2 linked regions of the Saccharomyces cerevisiae S288C genome follow. The gene in region 2 interacts genetically with the main gene of each other region. Each region holds a gene or a part of one and is shown on either strand. Other genes may lie near its edges.

Region 1 (4,206 bases), on a different chromosome or scaffold from region 2:
AAGCGATTGTGAAACTATGTGATATGTTTTGAGATATTTCATGAACCATATAGAATATGCATAGTATATCCCAATAAAGCATTGAATTATGAATGTCGTATCTCTATAAGCTCTCACATTAATGCTTCAAAAATACTTCATAAAACATTATAATATAGTTTAATGTGATTTTTGCGTGATTCTCTCCTTCTTTTTATTAAGTGTATGGACATTTAAAGTAACAGTTAATTGAGAATACGGTTGACCTGGCATGTTGTTCGAATCAATATCCAGGCACAAGTACCAGGTGCTAAAGAAAAAGTACTCTCATATTTGCTTGATTGCTGCTTGGGCTATTTTAACTAACTACTAACAATATTTTGCTTAAAAAATGGTAAATATGAATGTTTTACAGAAAAATAAAAAATGTATATATATAAAATCTCGAGCTAGCTGAGGGTTTTGGGAGCAGTCAAAGGGATTCCTTATTTCTTCCAAAAAAAAAAAAACAACCCTTTTACTTAACATTTATCAGCTGCATTTAATTCTCGCTGTTTTATGCTTGAGGACTGACTGATACTCTCATCAGCTAGCGAATCATGTTGAGTTTTTCCCTTTCCGAATGGATCAACCACAGTAGATGCAAATTTTCTGGCAGGAACCCCTTGGTTGAAAAGTTCATTAATTTCACTGAAGGTTCTACCAGTTGTCTCAGGCAGATCGATGATGACCCAAGCTAAAGTGACTGCTGTGAAACCACCCCAGTATAGACCAGTTTTGGCACCCCAGTTCCAATCGCTCACGTTTAGCATATAGGGCGTTAATATAGCGTTAATAACGGCCATGAGATTGTAGCAAATACGGGCCAGCACTATAGTCTTAGTTCTCAACTCCGCTGATGGAATTTCAGCAACGATACAGTAAACAACTGCACCGATACCAGCATTGTAAAAGAATGATAAAGCCAGCAATAAACCACCGGCACCATTACTAGCGCTGCTTCCAGAACCAAAACCCATTCCACCAATAATAAATAAGCAGACCATTTGAAATGCAAGACCATAGGTCAGTATTGTCCATCTACCAACACGGCCAGATATTACCCAGGAGCAAAGTGTACCCGCTAACCCAAGACAGTACTGAATTAGAGAAAAAGTAAACGCCTTGTCGGTGGCCATACCTGCTCTTTCAAAAAAATATGTCGAGTAACCAAGTAAAACGGCACCGCTACTATTTTGAGCTACCCAAGTTAAACATGCAAGTCTCGTTCTTCTTCCATTAACTCCCTTGAAACAATTAAAGAATGATCCTGATTTAGATGCTAAAAGTCTTTCTTTTTCAATAGTCAATTCAATCTGCTTTAAAGTAAGATCAACTTGAATGTCCTTCTCGGCGCCTTTACCACTCAAAATTCTGCTTAAAGATTTTCTTGCCTCAGCGACCCTATCCTTTCTCACCAACCACCAGGGCGACTCAGGAGCGAAAAAGATACCGATCATTAAAGGAGCAGGCCAAATCCATTGTAAAGCAAATGGCAATTTATAGCCCAAGTCGGAGTTCCCTAAATTCTCTTGTGAGTTTTTCATAATACCAGAGGCGAAGATTTGACCAAATAACCAACAAATGTTGGAGTAACTGGTCATGTAATATCTTAATGCTAAAGGGCAAACTTCCGAAGCATAAGTAACAGCCAAACTTTGGAAACAACCCCATGGTATAGCTGAGAGAATTTGTCCCACAGCAATCATAGCTAAACTTTTACAGTAGTAGAGGATAAAGATATAAGCAGTTAACAAACCAAGTGCTGTAATCATCGTATAACGATTCCCCATAAATTCAACCATATAAGTCGTGATTTGCAAACCAATCATCTCACCACAAAGGACACACATGTTTAAACCAATCTGCCATTGGGAAGTAATTTCGTAAGAACCCTCCCCGTTCAAAGTACCGAATTTTCTCTGAAAAACTGGCAGGGCATACAGTGCGCTCAGTAGTGCGGTATCATAACCTTCCATAACCAGGGTAGTAGACACTAATATGGACCACAGGGCTGCTTTTGGATATTTTAGCAACGCCTGCTTCAAAGTCATGCTTTTTTCCTCGCTGTTAGCTTCATTTGCATCATCAGTAGCGTTCATCTCATTAATCACATTCTCGTTATCTTCGTCAGAATCTCCTAACTGGGCTGAATTGGTGGTGAACTCTAAGTGGTCTAGCTCAAAGGCACTATCCTTTTTCCCTTCTTCAAAATCTTCAGTATTGAAAACCTCCTGTTGGTTTACAATATCTCTTGAAGACTCAGAAATGTTTTTATCCTCATTTTTTGAGGCAGCCTTCTTCTTGCTTACCAATGAAATGATATTTTTCATATTATACTATTTTTTTAGTTGTTTGATGTTCTTCTATGTAGCATCAGAAAGAAACACCAACCCGAAAATTCTTCAAACAATCAATACCAAACCGCTTTATATAAAAAATTAAGATGTCGACATTCCTTATTTTTTACTGAGTTCGTTAAAGTTGGGTACACTCTTGATTACTGTAATTGTCTCTGTATGTCCCTCAAGCCCGGTACGTTGTCATTTTCTAGTACGCATCAACGGAGTGTTACATGATAGATAGACCGAGTAGAATCTATGGCTATGGGGTAATTAAAACCTTAAAGCTCCTTTCGCTGCCATAGTAATACGAATAGACCTTGGCTATAGTAAGTTGCATCTGTACCGTAGAGATTCTTGCAACTCGCTTAAACTCTCGCTTTTAGATAATATTTCTCCTTATTGCGCGCTTCGTTGAAAATTTCGCTAAACACGGGGTTTAAGTTAAAGTTTACAGGATTTATCCGGAAATTTTCGCGGACCCCACACAATTAAGAATTGGCTCGAAGAGTGATAACGCATACTTTTCTTTTCTTTTTTTAGTTCCTAGCGTACCTAACGTAGGTAACATGATTTGGATCGTGGGATGATACAAACAACGTAAGATGAATAGTTCCTTCCTCAATTCTTCTTGCAGCATCATTTTCTTGAGGCGCTCTGGGCAAGGTATAAAAAGTTCCATTAATACGTCTCTAAAAAATTAAATCATCCATCTCTTAAGCAGTTTTTTTGATAATCTCAAATGTACATCAGTCAAGCGTAACTAAATTACATAAATGACTATTTCTGATCATCCAGAAACAGAACCAAAGTGGTGGAAAGAGGCCACAATCTATCAAATTTACCCAGCAAGTTTTAAAGACTCCAATAACGATGGCTGGGGTGATTTAAAAGGTATCACTTCCAAGTTGCAGTATATTAAAGATCTTGGCGTTGATGCTATTTGGGTTTGTCCGTTTTATGACTCTCCTCAACAAGATATGGGGTATGATATATCCAACTACGAAAAGGTCTGGCCCACATATGGTACCAATGAGGACTGTTTTGAGCTAATTGACAAGACTCATAAGCTGGGTATGAAATTCATCACCGATTTGGTTATCAACCACTGTTCTACAGAACACGAATGGTTCAAAGAGAGCAGATCCTCGAAGACCAATCCGAAGCGTGACTGGTTCTTCTGGAGACCTCCTAAGGGTTATGACGCCGAAGGCAAGCCAATTCCTCCAAACAATTGGAAATCTTTCTTTGGTGGTTCAGCTTGGACTTTTGATGAAACTACAAATGAATTTTACCTCCGTTTGTTTGCGAGTCGTCAAGTTGACTTGAATTGGGAGAATGAAGACTGCAGAAGGGCAATCTTTGAAAGTGCTGTTGGATTTTGGCTGGACCATGGTGTAGATGGTTTTAGAATCGATACCGCTGGTTTGTATTCGAAACGTCCTGGTTTACCAGATTCCCCAATTTTTGACAAAACCTCGAAATTACAACATCCAAATTGGGGGTCTCACAATGGTCCTAGGATTCATGAATATCATCAAGAACTACACAGATTTATGAAAAACAGGGTGAAAGATGGTAGAGAAATAATGACAGTCGGTGAAGTTGCCCATGGAAGTGATAATGCTTTATACACCAGTGCAGCTAGATACGAAGTCAGCGAAGTTTTCTCCTTCACGCACGTTGAAGTTGGTACCTCGCCATTTTTCCGTTATAACATAGTGCCCTTCACCTTGAAACAATGGAAAGAAGCCATTGCATCGAACTTTTTGTTCATTAACGGTACTGATAGTTGGGCTACCACCTACATCGAGAATCACGATCAAGCCCGGTCAATTACGAGATT
Region 2 (4,796 bases):
ACGACGATATACAGATCCTATATTCTTCATGTATGTAATAGATTCCCATACCTTCTTCGCATTTAAGACACTAATAGAAATGAAAGCTTTCTATTAGTCATTCTTCCTATGCACTAGACCACGCAAAGGTGAACCGGCTTGGTACGAGAATTCTATCACACGGTAATGATAGTGTTCCCGATGTCAAGCAGTCTTATACAGTACTACCCAAGAGCTTAAGAATAAGCAAGAAGATCTGGCAAGCTACAAGGTACTCATAACGATCTTCAAAGCGTAAGTTATGATCTTATGAAAATCAGACTTTTTTGTCTCAACAAACTCCTAGTTTGAAGATGTTACTGAAATGCCCTTCAAACACTTTTACTTGAAAATCATCGATTACTATTCTAACCTTCACAAATGAGCCTTTACACAACTTGATTAATAATAATATTTGACCTTACTCTAAATCGTCTCAAATATTACTGAGGCACAATCTCATGGTTATTGATAGAAAGAAGAATATAACATATATCTTATTTACATATGTTCGTCAATATTATAGGTAATACAATTTTTTCTCAGAGGGTTTCAAACTATTGAAAAATGGCAATGGTGGACTACAAGCAGCGAGAGCCCTTCTTGCATGATTATTCATATATTTCAATCCGAGCAAATAACTTGTGTTCACCCAACCAAAGCCTTCTGTAGCGACGCCCTTAAAATCAGCACCTTGATTACCATATTCCGCATCAACGCGATGCGGATCAGTCCCTCTTGTCACATCATATTTTTCTACCACCATTCCGTTATAATCAACAAATGATTTTGTAATCATGTACAGCCACCTATAAGCCAATCTTGTAGCTACTTGTTGATAACCATATGCAGATAAACCTTTCCAGGCTAATATTTGGTGCGGCGCCCAACCAAAAGGATAATCCCATTGCCTGATCGGTCTATCAATAGAAATAGGACCTCTTGATTTTTCTGTGCATGCAACTAGTCCGCCGAGCATTTCTAACTGAGGAAGAGCTTTTTCTACTGTGATTTTTGCTTGCTCTTCAGTTGCAAGACCAGCCCACAAACTCCAAAAAGTCGTTGCAGACTCATAAGACGTTCTGCATTTCAGTTTCGTGTTATAATAGAAGAAAAACCCTGAATCTTCGTCCCACATATACTTATTAATCCTTGTTTTCCTCAGTTCAGCTAGCTCCTCCCAGTGTTCAGAATCGGTTACCGTTCCATCATTCTCATCTTTATATTCATTACCAAAATACTCCTTAATGACGAAAGCAATATCTTTCTCATATTTATAGAGCAAGGAGTTTAGATCAATTGTCGCTAAATATGCACATACACCTTCAAACCTATAAGTCGTGTCATGTCCTGACTCTCTCACGGCACGATCATGTAAAAAAAATGCATCCAGTTTGGGTTCTTTAATCATGCCTTCGTTATAAAGGTACCTAAGCTTTTCCAGAGTAACATTGTACTTTTCAGCATACGGTAATAATATAGTATCAAAATGATCTGGTTCAGTTTCCGGAGGGATACCAATACCATCAGAATGATAACAAGACAGCCCTGTCAGAGAATCTAACCTAGGGCTCGACATCCACACCTCTTTATATTCTTTAATAGCAGCTCTGAACGCGCGTTTTAACAACTGAATAGCGTTTGGATTATTCTTACCTCCTATCTTTTCAAATACGAGCAGAGCCATATCGGTTAGGAATGGTGGCTGAGATCTGCAAAGATAATAACTCCTATTAGCATTCAAAATTTTACTATAGTGATCAATTTCGAATATAAAATGCTCCACCATACCTCTTGCAACATCAACCTTATTACTTTCTATGAGTCCCAGTGCCATTAAATATGAATCCCAGCCATACAATTCATTGAATCTACCGCCAGGTACCGCATAAGGATAACCAACTAGGGACCTTTCACCAGTAGATGGATTAACGTGTTCTTCCATAGCCAGGGCTAACAAACCCGGTGTATCATTTAATGATTTAACATACTCTGCTGTAATATCTTTTGGTAAGTACTCCACTTCAAGTTTTAAGGACGGGTTCATTTGAGATGCCTGAATGTAAAATTCGTACTGCTCTGGGCAGTTATATGGAACATAAATTCTTGGATTTTTAGCGCCTGGCGTATCTATTTTTGAGTCTCTAGCAATTTCTGCAATATTATAAAGATCAACTCTTCTCGTTAAACTCGTCCAAAATTGAGTCGTTATCAATCTTGATAATCTATCAACAGGGTTTTCATTTATACGCGCCTCATCCAAAAATATTTGGTGTCGTCCGAAACTTTTTGCAATGGTTAGTTCCTGCAACAAGTTAGAAAGCATATATGTTCCCCTAACATTTACATGTTTGAAACCGTTGGAATTGGCCGTCCCGACTTTAATAACTTTGGGCCCAGTGTCTTCTATGGTAATTTGGTGATTCTTGTCTGTGTCCTCACTAGCGAGCAGCTCATCTAAAGCGAGATCCACATTATCAATATAAAATCTACGGTTACCTTGGCTGCTGAGGAAGCTGTCGTCTTCAGAACCCCTCCTTTTCAGGGTATAATCCTTCATTCCGTTTTTGAAGTCAGAAACTTTATTGAAAACACTCATAGTTCTGGTTCTATTTAGTCTATGAATTTTTGACTGTTTTCTTGGATCTGTTATTGGTCCATAATAGACCTCTGCGTTGGAAAACGGGTCAAAATACTCATGCATAGAGGACAACCGCCGGTGATGTCTTCTACCACCTTGTTGCCCCTCTTCTTTCAACGGCCGCTGCTCTGAACCACTTGAAAGTGGCTTTATGTTATCTTCACCATCATTACCTTCGGATGGAGGATTTATTTCCGTTACTTTTGGTAAAAAATCTACCATTATTTGAGTATATGCAGGTCTCCTTATATACCAAATGTCTGATCCGAACCTGCGTCAAATATATTTGCAAAGGAAAAATATAAATAAATAAATAAAATTGAGAAATAAAGAATATTAGTTTTAATGGAAAACAGTTCCTACAAGCGCTATAACATATGAAATATACATTAGTCGAATATTAACTTTGGGAGGTAATTACAATTCCTATCCGCTTTATATAATTTAGTGGAACTGGCACGCCGCTCGGAAAAATTGGACTTCAAATTACCCCGCGCGGAGATTTGCATTATAAACTCTATAAAGATGCGTGAATTTCTACTCATTTATTACTAATTATTTGAATGTTCTTTTGCGAACTCATTTATCTTGCTCATTACTCTATAAATATCTATGCCATGTGGTAGGAAAAAAATGCAGACCTTTCTTAATTCAACTTTTTTTCTTTCAAATCGATGGGGTCCCCATTGGTTTCCTCGTCATAATCACCTTCCTCTAATCTGTACTCTTTGTTTAAAAAGGATTTGTGAAACGAAAATTTTAATAAAATCCATGCCATCCGTATAGGTCCAAACTCTGGCCATAAACAATCCAGCAATTCGATGCGTACGCCCTTACTCGATGCCTGCCATATCAAAAAGTCACTTAATCTGGAAACGCCACTTGTCCTAATCAATAAATCTAAAGGGGGTACCCCCGCCGTGTAGAGATGCGATTCTAACGTGCTTTCGTCTATAGCGGCGCCCTTCTTATGTTGAACAATTGTTTCTTTCATGGCATGCAAGATTTCTTCCCTGCCTGTATATGGAAAGCAGATATTTAACGTGGCCCTTTTGTTGTTCTTTGTAGTTTCCACAGCAACCCGAACATCTTCTAATAGAGACTTATCCAACAAAGAGAGATCGCCGATAATTTTAATGCGTACCCCATACTTACAGGCCAGCTCTCCACGTTCTGTGATTTGTCGTATCCTTTCGCGCGCTAAAGTCATCAGTGATTCAACTTCCCGTGAGCTCCTCTTGAAATTTTCAATTGAAAAGGCAAACACGGTAGCCGTATCGACTCCTGCTTCATAACACAGTTCTAAGATTCTACTCATACTAACAAATCCTGCCTCGTGGCCCTCCTTTACGTCCATCTCTTTCTTTCTAGCGAATCTCCTGTTCCCATCCATGATGAACCCAACATGTCTAGGTACACAGTTAGATGCACGCAATGTGCGCGAAAAGATGTTTTTTGTCCACTTTAACACAAATGAATGACCAGGTATACCACTATCCGTTTCCATACCGTCTTTTACCTGTGTTTACCCTATTTTTACTGCTTAAGTTCTATTGAAACCTGTCATTATTACGAAAATTTTTTTTTTTTTCATTCTAAGCATTTTGTTGGCATCTTCGGAAAAAGCCCGAGCGAGGGTAACAGGGTTAGGGGATTAGAAGATTAAAGTAAGACACATTATAATCTATAGAGATTTTCTACAACACAAGAAGTGTGCCATTCAGTCCGAATTGAGTACAGTGGGACGATGTTTCAAAGGTCTGGCGCTGCTCATCACATCAAATTGATTTCATCTCGAAGATGCCGCTTTAAATCCTCCTTTGCAGTTGCTTTAAACGCTGCCAGTAAGTTGGTAACTCCCAAGATTCTTTGGAATAATCCCATATCATTAGTCTCGAAGGAGATGAACACATTGGCCAAAAATATAGTTGCCCTCATCGGGTCTGGCCATCCGGTGCTAAACAAGGTTACTAGTTACTATTTTGAAACAGAAGGCAAAAAAGTACGTCCCTTGTTAGTGTTGTTGTTGTCAAGAGCACTTTCTGAAATTCCCATGACAGAAAGAAATCACTTGAAAATTGACAAGTCGGATGTTCCTGAGGACCCAATTTACTCTAAACCTAGTCAAAATCAACTA

What was found. A genetic interaction does not mean that the proteins touch.
Region 1: of NTH2 (region 2) and MAL11, changing one enhances a phenotype caused by changing the other (phenotypic enhancement), as found in Saccharomyces cerevisiae (one study listed by BioGRID).

What each region holds. Positions count from the first base shown.
Region 1 is NC_001139.9:1,073,463-1,077,668, forward strand, and holds MAL11 (alpha-glucoside permease), read right to left. Parts: upstream 2,352-4,206; coding exon 501-2,351; downstream 1-500. Other genes in the region: alpha-glucosidase MAL12, read left to right, coding at 3,137-4,206. UniProt on the Saccharomyces cerevisiae protein: High-affinity uptake of alpha-glucosides such as maltose, turanose, isomaltose, alpha-methylglucoside, maltotriose, palatinose, trehalose, melezitose and glucose. Acts with the concomitant transport of protons into the cell (symport system).
Region 2 is NC_001134.8:238,403-243,198, forward strand, and holds NTH2 (alpha,alpha-trehalase NTH2), read right to left. Parts: upstream 2,882-4,796; coding exon 539-2,881; downstream 1-538. Other genes in the region: RER2 (ditrans,polycis-polyprenyl diphosphate synthase), read right to left, coding at 3,306-4,166; COQ1 (trans-hexaprenyltranstransferase), read left to right, coding at 4,407-4,796.